Elephas maximus indicus: one gene and its partner. The protein of the gene in region 1 interacts with the protein of each later gene in a biochemical or structural test. Links are inferred from orthologs where the notes say so. Each region holds a gene or a part of one and is shown on either strand. Other genes may lie near its edges.

Region 1 (7,003 bases):
TGGGGCCAGGTAAGGGCCATATGGGGGCCCTATGCTGCCCTGACCTTGGGCTTGGTGCCCAGGCAGGGAAAGAGTTGGAGCGATGCCAGCGGCAGGCTGATGAGGTGACGGAAATCATGCTCAACAACTTCGGCAAGGTCCTGGAGCGTGATGGGAAGCTGGCAGAACTGGAGCAGCGTTCCGACCAACTGCTGGACATGGTGCGAGGCCTGGGGAGGCAGACAGGGGAGAGGGGCAGGCTTGGAGGAGCCGTTCAGTGGAGCTCTCAGGCTGTGTACTGAGTCTCTAGGCCTTTGGGAGGGGGGGTCTGAGGTCTGCTTGAGGGTCAGTGTGGGGTTTCCTGCATGTGATGGGTAGACCCCAGGAAGTTAAAAGTCCTTAGCTTACAGCTGTGTGCCTTCCTAAAGGTCGAGGACTGGCACTGCTAACTGGAGGTGAGCCAGTGGGGCTGCAAGTCAAGGGCTACACTGTGTCAGGAAGTCAGGCTGGGAGGCCCTGGCAGGCTGTGTGGAGGGAGGGAGAAGACATGTTGAGGAGCATGCAGGAGACTAGGCCTTGCTGGGGCCGGGGGTGGGCTTGGGGGGAGCTGGCTCTGTCTCTGGGGGAACCACTCACTCCCACCGTGTCTGGGGTCTCCACAGAGCTCTGCCTTCAGCAAGACGACCAAGACCCTGGCCCAGAAGAAGCGCTGGGAGAACGTCCGTTGCCGAATTTACCTGGGGTTGGCGGTGGGTGGCAGCCTGCTTGTCATCCTGATTGTGCTGTTGGCCATTTTTCTCCCCCAGAATAGTCAAGGCAGCAGTGCCCCACAGGCCCAGGGCGCGGGCACAGCCTCAGGGCCGGGGGACTGACCTGGCTGGGCCTTTGGGACAGGCTGAACAGCCACACTAGCCAGTTCCGGTCTCCTGAGAACCCTGGTGTTCATTCCCATCTGAGCCACCCCAGTGATCTTCAGAGGACAGTCCCCATGTGTGCACCTCCACGCCTCCCATCACGCCACAGACTGGCTCTTGAGAGCAGCCTGCTGCACTGGCCGTGCCAGGCCAGCCCTGCCTGGATCTCAATAAAAGCTGCTGTTTGCCTAAAAGCTGGTTTGTGTGTGTCTCTGAGGGTCCTCGGGTGGTTCATCCGCACCCTGCCCCACCCCTGGGGCTGCTTACAAATTCCACCACTGCTAGGTCTCCACCCTGGGAGGTGGCTTTTTCCTCTCCCTTTTCTCCTTTGTCAGACACTACACAGACACGCCTTTCTGGGCTTCAGGTACACAGCACACAGCAACCCCAGACCAGACCCTGGAACCAGTCCTCCTGTTTCCCTGAGAATGGAATCTATTTTTTTCTGGCATCTTGAGAATGCTCAGAAGACCAATGCGACTCCAGATGGGGTGACAAAAAAGAAAATACTTTAAGGATTTTAACAGCATGAGGCCCTCTCTCACATTCATATTCACTTTTTGCCCTGTGAACACCTTCCCCCTCCCCAGTTTCTCCACCCATCTTCTTCCTCAAGATTCTACCAAATTACCCATGAGGCAGTTGGCAGTGAAAACAGGAAGGGCTTCTAAGGTCCTTTAATGCAGGGTCACAAAGGGTAACCTGGAGTTTGCCTTGTAGGAAAGAAGTCAAGCTTTTCAAAGCTCCAGGGGTCACACAAGGATCACTGGGTACAATAAGCCATGGAAGAAGGAAAGAGGCCCCACTAGGATTGTGGGAACAGGCAGTCTCTGCCTGGGCTGCTTAACTTCAGCTCATAATTGTGGATGAGGAGGGGAATTCCAGGTCATGTGTGTAACACAAGCAGTTTTTTCTAGATAGAATGAGGCTTCTGACAGAAAAAAATGACAACCTCTAGGAGTTGTCTGAAGCTTTACTCTTTTTTTTTTTAAAAAAAAAATTTTTTTTTTTTTTTTACTCCTTACAGATCTTTGTTACTTTCACTGGGCTCCTTACTCTTTCCTTTTATGGGAAAGGAGGTCCCTGGGTGATGCAAACAGTTTGCACTGTACTATTAACCTAAAGGTTGGTGATTTAAACCAGGGCTTCAAACAGTTTCATTCTGGTTCAAACCCCTGCTGAGAATTTGCAAAGTTGTATGTAAGAATCACCTGGGGATCTTGTTAAAGTGTAGATAGTGATTCAGTATATTTGGGATGGAAATGCAAATGTTGCCCCAGCTAAAAAAAAAAAAAAGAAGCCTTGGTTTAAACCTACCCAGCAGTGTTGTGGAAGAAAAGATTGATGATCTACTTCCGTAAAGATTATAGCCAAGAAAACCTCATGGAGCATCTACTGTGTAACATAAGGAGTGGAATCGATGGCAATTTTTTTTTTTTTTTTTAAGTTTTGGTTTTTATGGGAAAGATGGAGAAAAGCAAGAGGCTCTGTAGCTAGTCAGCATTCCACTTACAGGCTGTGTGAATTTGGACAAGACTTGTTTTTGCATATGTAAAAAGGAGATGATGATACTTTGCTCCTAGGACTGTTCTTAGGATTATTAATGCTAGGTGTAAAAAGGCATCCATCAACGTAACAGCTCTAGATGCTATCATCCAAGTCATTTAATGCAGCTCTTCTCAACCCTGCCTCATGTTAGAATCACCTGCAGAACTTGTAAAAATACCAGCACACAGGCCCCACCCTAAGCCAGAAACCAAATCAAACCTGCGCTGTGCAGCCGATTCTGACTCATAGCCACCCTGTAGGACAGAGTAGAACTGCCCCATAGGGTTTCCAAAGAGCGGCTGGTGGATTCGACCTGCTGACCTTTTGGTTAGCAGCCGAGCTCTTAACCACTGCGCCACCAGGGCACCAGCCTAAACCCCAGTCCCAGTGCTGTCGAGTCAATTCCGACTCATATCGCACCCTGGATCAGTTAAATCAGAATCTTTAAGGGGTAGGTATCAGACATGGATTTTCCCCCAAAAGCTCCTTTCTCCCCCTACTCCAGGATTCAGGTGTAGCTGGGATGCAAACCACTTATTTAGTTCAAGCCACTAGGTGCTATTTTTATTTTTTCATTGTGGTGAAATATATATAGCATCATTTCAGCCATTTTTAGATGTACAATTCAGTGTCGTTCATTACATTCGCCATGCTGTGCAACAATCACCACTATCCGCTTCCAAATTCGTCATCACTTTAACAAAAACTCTGTACCTCTTAACCGTTACCCCCCATTTTTCCTTACCACCTGTCCTTGGTAACCACTAATAAACTTTGGTCACTAGGCATTTGCCTATTCAAGCCGCTAGTTTTACAGACTGGGAAGCAGAAGCTAGGGTCTAGGGGAGAGGTTGAGCAAAGGGCTGAATGAACGTCACACCAATAGTCCAATGAGCAGATGAGGCCCGGGATCTCCCGGCAGGGATCTTCCCTCCCTCCGTTAGGAGGTTTGCCCCATCCTCTATCGATGTGACTAAACCAAAAACCAAACCCAGTGCCGTCGAGTCGATTCCGACTCATAGCGACCGTATAGGACAGAGTAGAACTGTCCCGTCCCGTAGAGTTTCCAAAGAGCACCTGGCGGATTCGAACTGCTGACCCCTTGGTTAGCAGCCGTTGTGAATAACACATAAGAAATCTGCAAGAAATTTTTGTTTTTAGGGGGGTGAGGGAGGAATCAAGTGTAAACTCCTGAACCATCCAGAAAGCAGCGCAGCGCGGGGGCGAGGGCGAGGGCAGGGCAGCAGTCCTGGCTCTCACCTAGATCGCAGATTTGAATCTTAGGGTCAGGGCTCCAGCATCTGCATTGCCGGGGTCCTCTGAGCCTCAGGGCTGACTGAGGACCCTTACAGCCTAGACAATTGGCTTTTCAAAGCGCTACGGCCATGACCAGAAGCAGACATCTACTCTTCATTCCGACTCCAAAACAGAAGTTTTCTGGTCAGTCCCAGCCCCTCCAACGGCTTTAGTCTTTGGTCACCTGACTTACTCGAGCCAATAAGAGGCAGCCAAATTAATACTTCCGCCGTCTGTTCCGTTAACAAGCCATTGTGTCCGCCCTCCGGATGCTCTGATTGGCCATTCTCTTTCAACTCGCCAGTTTATTGGCCGGTGCCGAGACGTCGCCGTCCAGCAGGGGTCCGGGGGCTGTGTCAGCGTGGCAGTCATGGCATCCTATTTCGATGAGCACGACTGCGAGCCTTTGGATCCCGAGCAGGAGGCCCGAACCAACATGCTGCTGGAGCTCGCAAGGTGGGTGCGCACGGCTGGGAGGTCGGCGCTCGGGCGTGAGGACCCAGGTACAGGATTCTGGGCTAGGGTTGCCTGGAGAAGGCGGATTCTCTGGGCCAGCCAGTTCTGGGCAGGGACGGGATAAATTATCTGGAGTGTCGTCCGGGCGGCGAGATCCGGGATAATTTGGATCGGCAGGGCGGGCCTGGGCAAGGGGATTCTGTCTGGGGAAGACTGGGGCGCGGTGGGAGTAGAGGGCAGCCGGGTCTAGGATGGACCCGAGAAGGCGGGTCTTGAGGGGCGGGGTAGGGCCCGGTGGATGTGAGTAGGTGTACTTGTTAGAAACATGAACCCCGGAAGCCGGCACTGCAGTCTTGGAGTCTGGGTCTACCAGGTCATTGCTGCGTAGCCTTGAGTAACTTCTCTGAATCTGTTGCCTCATGTGTAAAATGGGAACAAAATCGCAGCTGTAAACCATTTTCCACCGTGCACCTCCTATGGGGTAGCTATGACGACTACTAGCTGGGCAGGGTATTTATAATGAATATCCAGTGGATTATGGGGCAAGGAGGAAGTATGCTTTTCTTGTTTTGATCTAGCGTCCTCTGCCTCCTCAGGTCGCTTTTCAATAGGATGGACTTTGAAGACTTGGGGTTGGTAGTAGATTGGGATCACCACCTGCCTCCACCTGCTGCCAAGGCTGTGGTCGAGAGCCTCCCCAGGACAGCCATCAGGGGGTCTCAGGCTGGTGAGGACATACTCCCTAAGCTGTTGGGGCCCTCCCAGAGCTGACTGCTCTGCTTCTTCAGTTTCCCAGGCCAGGTGTGCCTTTCTGGAGTGGGGGCTGGGGGTGGGGCCCACAGCAGCTCTCCTGATCAGCACTCCCTCTCAAAGACCTCAAGTGCCCCGTGTGTCTTTTGGAATTTGAGGAGGAGGAGACGGCCATTGAGATGCCTTGCCATCACCTCTTTCATTCCAACTGCATTCTGCCCTGGCTAAGCAAGGTACTGCTTCCCCTCTCCCAGCCCTCACTCCACCCTGGGCCCGGTTCTCAGGTCCTGTTTATGAACTGTTGGGTGACCAAAGGAGTGGGGTGGTAAGTGGGATCAGGGGAGGAATCTTGGCCAGACCCAGGCTGGAACACTGCCCTGCTTTTCCCAGACAAATTCCTGCCCCCTTTGCCGCCATGAGCTGCCCACCGATGACGACACTTATGAAGAGCACAGACGAGATAAGGTAGGGGCTGGTGCTAAGTGGAGCGGGTCCCAGTAGACTCCTTTTGCCCCCATGGCTGCCTCCTTCCACACCTCAGCAGGCCTGTGTAGGCCCTCAGAATCCCTGGCTCTGGCCTTGGTGAAGGGTGAGCACTTCAGCAATGCAGATGCCAATGGCCTTCAGTTGCCCTATTCCCTCACTTACAGGCCTTCAGGGATGGCCCCTGCCCATTGTGCCCTCTTTCCCTCAGGCTCGAAAGGAGCAGCAGAAGCACCGACTCGAGAACCTCCATGGAGCCATGTACACATGAGGCAGTTGTGGTTGAGCACCAGCCCTCCCAACGTCTTCCTCTTGAACCTTGAATCCTCATTAAAGCTCTCTTTACCCACCCTTCGGCTGCATTGCTCACAGGCCTGGGAGTGTGCTCTGCCCCATCAAGTCCTACTGCTACTGGGGAAGGTGTTCCTGAACCACAGGAGGCTCCAGGCTTTGTTTCCCTCCCTCCCAAGCCTGCTGGCCCATCTGGACTCAGGGCAGTAAAGAACCTGGCTACTGGACCAACCAGGGCTTTGGCCTGTGTGTTCATGGTTGGAAGGAAAAATGGGTCAGAAACTGGCACCAGTAGCTACTGAAAAGCTGGTAAAGAAAAACCAGCTTATACCCCCTCCCCTCTGGCAATTTTTAGTTAACCTTGGAATCCCAGGAACTTTGTGTAGCTTTTCACATTTTAAGGCTGCTCCTTCAACACATTCCCCCACCCTCCACCCCAGAATCAAAGTTCAAACCACACTCCGAGATGGGGAAGGGAACTGTGAATAAGATTATCAGACCAGGTCAGTTCTTCAGACTGCAAGCCCTTGAGAGGAATTTTTTTGCACCTGGCTGCCCTGCTCAAAGAGCTCAAAGAGCAGAGGGCACTCAGGACTCTCCCTGGGTGGGGCTTCCTCCTGTCCACTGTCTTGTCTAAGGAAAGCCCTGCTGGATCAGGCCCTCTCTGATTCTCCAGAACAGACTATACATATGCAAATTAGAATTCTTTTAATAGATATAAAAAAAGTACTAAAATACCCACATGGTTCTGCTGTGTTATTCACTCTAAAGGAAGTGAGGGGCAGAGTGAAGAATCCCGGTGTGTCTCAGTGGGCCCGGAAGTGGGCCTTCCCAGACTAAGCCACGCACAGCCCCCCTGCCCCCCACCAGCTATCTATCCCTCTCACCTTTCCCAGCCCCAAATTCCTGCAGCAGGGAACCCCAGTGGTCTGGCTTCAGAACTGGGGAGTAGAAGGCACCTGAAGGGCTGGCTGGGCGAGTGAAGATAGGTGATCTTAGAACACAAACCATCCGCAGTGGGAGAGCAGCAGTTGGGCAGCCGGCAGGGCTGCTCCTCTCTGGCACAGATGGATGTGGGATGGCCACTCCAGGAGTGAGGAAGCCCGCAACCCAACGTAATACTTGAAAGCGTTTTTGGTACAAATTAAATGCAAAGAAGGTGGGGTTGGAAGCCGTGGGGGCTGGGCCAGCCACCCTCCCCAGATCTCAGATCATGGCGATGCTCTCGGGGGCACAGTTGAGGTGTGTGGAGGTGCTACTGCTTCCTGAGGGCTTGCAGGCCCGGC
Region 2 (7,489 bases), on another chromosome or scaffold:
AACTCTTGGCTGCTGGAGTCGGAGGTGAAGCTCTGGCTGGGCACGGACCGCAAGAGGGTGCCCGGACTGTAACTCGAGACGATATTGGCGACTGGAGCCCGGACCAGGAGCCCTAAGACGGAGGGGGAGGGTGTGGGGGCCCAGATGTCTGGGGTCTCCCTTAGGTGGGGAAGCTGGGAGAAAGGCGGGAGATGTACAGATGGGATGAGGGACATACCTAAGAAATAATAGCCACCGGGGGCCCCAAGCACCAGCTCCCCAGCCTAAAAGGGAAGCCCTGGAGGTGAGAGGGTGCCCTGTTCCTGGGCCGCCCCCACGCCTCTCACGCTCGGTACTCGCCTGGGTGACCACTGAGCTGAAGCCCACTTCGCAGTAGCGTCTGTCCAGCACTAGAGGGCGCAAGGAGGTGGGGTCAGTGAAGGGGCGGATCGAGAAGCGTGGATCCGAGCCTGGGCCCGGCGGGGGCGGGGCCATGGGGCGGGGCCAGGAGTAATATAGAGGCGTGACCTTGAAAGGGCAAAACCAGACTGAAAGCAGAGTTTTGGCGCGCTGGGGGAGGGACTAGACTAAAGAAAAAAAACCGTCGGGTCGATTCCGACTCAAAGCGACCCGATTTTGTTAGAGCGCTGGGCAGCTAGTGGGCGGGGCCAAAGCAGGGGCGGAGCTTACTAAAACGATTTTGTTCGTAAATCTTGCTCATGGTGCGGGCCCGGCAGGGCGAGTACTCCGCCCGGCTGCCGCTCTGGAGATGAGCCACCCAGCAGCTACCTACAGGCGTCTTCTCGGCCTCCTCGGTCTTTTCTAGCACATTCCAATGCTGCCAGGGAGCACAGGCCTGGGGCAGGGCCACAGAGGAGTAAGGAAGGGCGCGGGGCTGGGACTGAGGCCCCACCTCACTCCTCCCACCAGACGTATCCCCGGCCCCGCCTGCTCCCTATCCCCTATCCCGCGGCCACACCACAACGTTGTCTCTCCAGCTGACGACCGACGCGCCCAGTCCTTGCCCGGCCTTGAAGGTTTGGAGGGTTTGGTAGCCTACGTTTTGGTTGTCATCCGCTGGAGAACAGAAGAAGGTGTGGGGGCGCTGAAGCCCGGCTGTCCACGCCCCCTCTGGCCCCTCCTCCGTCCCTCCTGGCTCCGGACTCACTGAGGTGGAAGGACAGCGAGGTGCACTGGCCACCCTCGGCCTTCCAGGGGCACAGGAACACACCGCCAGTTTCCTCTCGTCTAGGACCCAAGGCCCGAGGGGCGCCCACCACGATGGCCACGCTGCGAAGGAGAGCTGGGTGAGCGCTGCACGCATTCCCGCGTGGCCCATGCCCAGTGCCCACGCTGGAAGCACTGCCCAGAGGACGGTGTGCCGTGGGGGCCTGGACCAGCTTTCCTCAACAAGACCTCACAGACCGTCGAGGCCAGCATCTTCACCTTATGGACAGTGAAACTGACTCTGGGAGGAAATCACTTTCCTAAAGCAATACAGCGAACTGAGGTTAAAGCTGGCACTATAACCATTTGGTTTGATTTGGACACGAGGGTTTTGCTATTCCTCATGAAAAAGACCTCCCAAGCTCTGCACACTACCTCCATCCCCTCTCCCTTTCCGTCCCACCAAAAGCCAGGGGTTCAGATGCTCCCTACAATGTTCGTTTGAAGACTATTCCTTACCAGATCCCTTTCTGAGAATTGATTTTAATGGTGAAGAATGAAGAAAGCCAGAGGGCGCCTGGGGGTGGGGGGCGGGGGTGGGGGAAGGTTGCTGATAGAGCTGAGAACCCTAGCAGATCTAGGTTCAAATCACAGCTCTGCCATTTACTGTCTTTGTCCAAAGTCATTTAACCTTTCCTATGTAAAATGAGGACAATACCAGCCAATCACTGTTGTCATGAGGAGTAAATGTGTGAGGGACATTTGGCATGGTACCAACCAAATACATAGTAATGCTCAATATACAAAATGCTTTTTTTTTTTTTAAAACGCATTCAGGGTTTTTTTTTCCGAAGTACCCATGAAACCAATACCTGTAGAAAGGAGGTGAAAGGAGTGGGCAGAAGTGGAACTCATACGCAGGTCCAAAGAAAGACTTGGGCCAACTCTCCTTCCCTCCCCTCCATGCCGTGGAGCTAGAAAGACCCTTCAAAATTATCACAGTCAGACCCTTATCTCACACACACACACACACACACACACACACACACACACGAGTTGTCAGTCAGTGGAAGTGGGCCACCTTGGGAAAGGTTTTGACTTTGGGCAAGGTGGTTCTTTTCAGCAGAGGAAATCTCACAAAGGGCTGACATTTGAAGCCTGTCTGCCCTTGCTACTTCCTGAAGCTGGACATCACAGTGTCCACCACACTACCTAGGTAGCTTAGGGTAACACAGCTATTAATAGGGGGGAATTCGGCAGTCTGATTTCATGGCCTAATCAATCCCAACCATTAATGCTCTATTGCTTCTTTTCAAATATGCATATTTGGTAAGGGAAATGGAGTAGAATTGCAAGGTGGGAGCAGACTATTTTACAGTTTTGCAAGTCAACTTAAGACGTGCACCTCTCTGTATTTTGAGGGGAGGAAAGTGGAGTGGGTCTTACAACTGACCCTTGAGAAAAAAAATAAATCAACTTTTGTCTTCCCTTTGTTCTTGCTGTAGTTTTAGTGCCTATCTCCTCCCTGGTGTCCTCTCCCTGACACTCTCACCTGAGCTGGTCCCTGCCCACTATTTCTAACCAGACTTCAGCCTGAGCCACAAACCAAAACCCAGTGCTGTTCAGTGGGTTCCGACCATAGAGACCCTATAGACCCTATAAATCGTCTTGCTCAACCTCCATCAGAAATGGGCTCACAGAAGCAGTGACAGGTTGGGGTTCCTTCTCTCTCCCAACCCCCAAACTTCCCACAAGGCTCACCTTCCTTTGCTGTCCTTGTAGAAGTCCAGTGAAAACCCAAAGTGGCTACCATTGGGGCCTGTGTAGACAGTGAGCCGCATCAGGTCCAGGTTCAAGGCCCAGGTTGGAGGGGTACCATCGGGTCCTAAGAGCAGCTGTGCCCACCCCAGGAGCCAGAGGGCATGCAGTGGACACAAAGCTCTGGCCATCTTCCTTCTCCCACAATCTCCTAGGCAGAAATGGGCCAGCTTCTTCCTCTTTCCTTCAGTTTCCACCACAGGAAGTCATTTCTTATCAAGCTGGGGCCCAAAGCAACTTGCTGAGCAGTGGATAGAGCAAAGGGCTATACAGCCCCTGCACACATCCATGTGTTCTCCAGGATTGCCAGGAAAGGGGTGAGGCTTAGGGCTGAGAGGAATGACTCCTCTCTTTCCCTGGGAACAGTTTATCACCAACTCCTGGTGGTTCTACCTCTCAATTATTTCTCTTGAATCTTCTCTCCATCTCCACTACCACCACTCTAGTGCAAGTCACCATTACTTTTTATTGGGATAGTACAATCATGAATTAACTGGTCTGTACGCCTCCACTATAGCCCACAGTTCTACAACCTTCCCGCCTGGCCTCGCCCTGCCCCCCACCCCCCGCAAGCTGGCTGCGCTGCTATGGCGCATTGACTTGGCCAAAAGTGGGGGAAGAAGGAAGCTGCTGCCTCCTGATAAGACCTCAGGCTGCTGTATCCTTTTGGATAAGGTACTTAATCACTTCTTCCTTCTAGGGCTTTGGACAGCCTCAGCCAGCCATACTGAGGCAGCAGCTTCCTCACTCCTTGTCCATGTTGGGCCAAGTCTCAGTGCTGCCAGAGCAGTGCAGCCAGTGTTGGGAGGGGGGACAGTGAATGGACCTTGGCCTAAGGGACAAGGAAATGGGTACAATTTGAAATTATTCCAGGGCATTCTGGTTCACAGGCTCTGAGATTATGTACAAGCTATTCAGTTGAAGGCAGGCTCTCGCTCCTTTTTGGGTGACAAAGTTCTTGTCTAACCATTAAGACTTGATTTTGCTGGGATCATCGCCTGGGGGAAGTTTCCTCCAACTCCTCGGGCTGGCACCCAGAGCTAACACTGACCACACTATATAATCATGGTCTGTTCACTGGATTTTGTCTGTGAATTCAAAGCATGGTTCCTTTCTGCAGTCCCAGGGCCTAATATGTAGTATGCATGACTAAAAGAAAGACTGAGCAGAAATATGCACAAAAAGATAAAGATGCAAACACAGGGTCACACAGTGGGAAAAGAAGAAAGAGTTTTGAGCAAAAAGGCAAGGTCATCTTCTGTGGATACGGGGAAGAGGACAGGAGTGCTAAGTCTAACTGGCACTGCATGCCTTCCCAAAAAAGCTGTTCTCAAGGAGATTCAAGAAGTCTAGATGTAAAGGCAACATAGCCACATTCTTCTCTTCATCCATACTTGCCTTCTGATCAAACTGCCCAACTACCCTGTGCCATTCTGGAATCCTTTCAGCTCCCCTCATACTTCACCATCTCAGCACACAGCTCAAAATCCTATCCCTAGCTAGGTTAAACGCTCCTTCAACTTTAATCTGGGCTTTCTTCACTGCTGACTTCCAGTGCCAAGCTCCTGGCAGGCCTGCAATACATTTGTTAGAATGAATCCTTAACCCAGTCCTCTACTCACCCTCCCAACTGTCCTCAACTGAGCTGCTATTAACTCACGTTGCTGTTGTGTGTGGTCTAGTCAATTCTGACTCATAGTGAACCTATAGGACAGAGTAGAACTGCCTCATAGACTGTAATTTTTATGGGAGCAGATTGCCAGGTCTTTTTTCCTGCAGAGCGGCTGGTGGGTTTGAGCTGCCAACATTTTGGTTAGCAGTAGAGAGCTTGAACATTGTGCTACCAGAGCTCCTTATTAATTCATAGTCCACTACAACTTTCAATAAGTACTTGTTCTGTTCAAGGCACTGAGTGATACAGAGATCATTATCAAAGATCCTTAAAAAACTTAGTGCAGAGGGAGTTAAGACATGAACACACGTAACTGTGCATAGTTTTAGGTAAATTGCCCAAGTTACACAGCTAATAGGTGCCACTAACTAGGATTCAAACACAAGTTTGCACTTGAGTCCATGTTCTTAACCATTATACTACGTTGCCTTTTGTCTGAGAATGAAGGAGTTTCTACGCAGAGGAATAACATAAAAGAACAGCAGAACAACAAAAGCCACTTATAGGGAAAAGCAAGTACTAGTTAACTCAGCATAGGGTGCTCAAAGGGGTGAATTTGCACGAGGGTGAGACGGAAAGCTGGGATCAAACCACTGGAGGTTCTTCAATGCCATATTAAGGAAAATGAACTTTAACCCATACGAGATGGAAAATCACTAAGATTTTTAAAGCCAGGGGATGGGATACATTGATCAATTGTGCTTTGATCTGGAAGATTAAACTGGCTGCCTATGGCAAGAAAAGGATTTAGTGGGAAGACCAGATGGACAGTGACTGCAATCCTCTGGGTTAAAGGTGATGAGGTCTGAGCCCGAGTACTAATGGCAGGAACAAAAGTGATGACAGAATCAGTAACTGGATGTGTAGGGAGGGATCCAAGGTAGCTACTAGCTTTGGTGTCTGGCCAGACAGTGGCATCATTAACTAGAGTTGAAAATACAGACGGTGATCAGATTTGGGTAGGGAGAGTTGTTTAGTTCTTACGGGTATTTTTATGGAGTCAGAGCTGGGTTGATCTCCCTTCTGATAGTTGGCAGAGAAGTGCTGACACGTTGGTCCCACTTTCTCATCCCATCAGACTGAGTCCAAGAATCCCTCACTGAATTTGAATTCTACTAAGGTTTTATTTTAGTCAACAAATTACTGAGCTTCTATGTGCCTGGCTCTGAGCCAGGTGATGTGGAGGCTCGAGAAAAATCTCTTATCTTCAAATGTTCCCTTACTGAATCCTCGTGCATGATCCATGGTTTGTGGTATCTTACTTTACTCCTGTCTTCTTGAACATACAATCAAAATGTTTACATGTGCTCAATTCTACGTAAGACATCCTAAGGGATAAGAAAAAGGAAGTGTAACAATCAGTTTCTGTCCTCTCAGAGTTTACAATTTTACCAGAAGCAGTGAATACAAAATTAATTGAACTCAGATTCTAAAAAGCGAGTAAACTTACATGGGGCAGGCTATTAGTTCCTAGAGTCAGGGAGGCCAGCCCGGAAGATGCTGCAGTAATTCCAACATGAGTTAATAAGAGTATCTCTTGCAAATAAGAACGGAAGTGGTTGACTACGCCTGAATTAGTCATGGGGGGTACAGAAGATGGAGTAATTTCACGATTCAAGCTCAGGTGGCTGGGAGGGAAGTGGAACCCTTATCAGAACAAGGACGCTTGCCCGCTCTCAGAAACTCACTTTTTATATTTTCTAACATCCATTCCTTCTGGGCAGGGATCTTTGCCATTTTAGGAAACAGTCAGATCTGAGCACCCAACCCAGGGTTTTAAGAGCTTCTCCTTGGTGGACAGAGCATAGCTTTATCAAAGACACTAGGAAAGAAATGAACACCAGTCTTCTTTCCTGAAAGGTTAAGGAGAGGGGAAACTATTACGACAAATCTGTGGTTAGTTTTCCACGCTAAACTTCCCTGCCTCTTGTGATTTTTGATACAGAAAAGTAGGAGCTTTTATCGGCTCAGTAACAGTTGGGATGTATTTCCTTATACTAAGCAGAGGCTCTCAAGTATTGACTGCAGTGACATTAAAGGGCTGAGGAGAGGAAGCCAAGCCTGGTATACAGAACTCCACCTGGAGGGCAAAGACTAGGTAGATCAATCTTGTAATCCCACTGGCCTTAAGTCCATCCAAAATCCTAAAAATCAAAGCCAGAAATTCCAAATCCATTTAATGAGCACCTACATGCCATACATAGATTATATATTTAAGAAAAAGGGAAGAAACAGAAGTTCTTACGGGGAAAGAGGGAGCAGAAAGAGACACTTACCTAACACTGAGAGAAACACAACTCCTATTACTTCTGCCCACAGCCATCTTTTGCCTTTGAAGTGGGCAGTCCAAGCTTTGAGAGGCACAGTTTCAAATATCACAAACAACTGGTTCACAAGAGTCTACTGCTTGGTCACTTTAAACAGGATGTTACTTACAATCCACAACTCCATCTTTTCCCAACTTGAGTGAACAGGGAACGATCACGACAGACTCTGCTAAGTTTCCACAAATCATTGGTTTATTAGAAAGTTCTTTCCCTCATTTTACAGCATATATATCTCTATCATATGTGATAAAGTTAAATACAGTCTGTTACGCTTGTAAGTAAGGTCATTTTGTTTTTCCTTCTTTTTTTTAAGTTTTAAAACCACTATTCTGGAAGTTAAAGAAAACTGCCTCCAGGAAGGCAGAGAGGCCAGAACATGGCTCGATCTACAAGCTGAAGGGAAGCAGCACGGAAATGTTAATACTGTATTATTTAAATATTTACATGGGCTGAAAACAAAGAAAAATGAGTCCTGTCACTTGAAACAGACCATTTCATTTTTTCTAATGCTAGTCATCCAAAAAAT

Evidence for each region. The genes of interacting proteins can lie anywhere in the genome.
Region 2: the proteins of RNF181 (region 1) and ITGA2B form a complex in vitro, tested with the Homo sapiens proteins (2 studies listed by BioGRID). The link is inferred for Elephas maximus indicus from reciprocal best matches to the Homo sapiens genes RNF181 and ITGA2B.

The regions. Positions count from the first base shown.
Region 1 is NC_064835.1:49,004,602-49,011,604, reverse strand, and holds RNF181 (E3 ubiquitin-protein ligase RNF181), read left to right. Parts: upstream 1-4,079; 5' UTR 4,080-4,107; coding exon 4,108-4,193; intron 4,194-4,789; coding exon 4,790-4,920; intron 4,921-5,066; coding exon 5,067-5,176; intron 5,177-5,333; coding exon 5,334-5,408; intron 5,409-5,637; coding exon 5,638-5,697; 3' UTR 5,698-6,402; downstream 6,403-7,003. Other genes in the region: VAMP5 (vesicle-associated membrane protein 5), read left to right, coding at 63-200, 642-851; TMEM150A (transmembrane protein 150A), read right to left, coding at 6,924-7,003.
Region 2 is NC_064837.1:50,889,911-50,897,399, forward strand, and holds the start of ITGA2B (integrin alpha-IIb), read right to left. Parts: upstream 3,106-7,489; 5' UTR 3,096-3,105; coding exon 2,908-3,095; intron 1,270-2,907; coding exon 1,148-1,269; intron 1,057-1,147; coding exon 959-1,056; intron 836-958; coding exon 670-835; intron 390-669; coding exon 340-389; intron 264-339; coding exon 218-263; intron 113-217; coding exon 1-112. UniProt on the Homo sapiens protein: Integrin alpha-IIb/beta-3 is a receptor for fibronectin, fibrinogen, plasminogen, prothrombin, thrombospondin and vitronectin. It recognizes the sequence R-G-D in a wide array of ligands.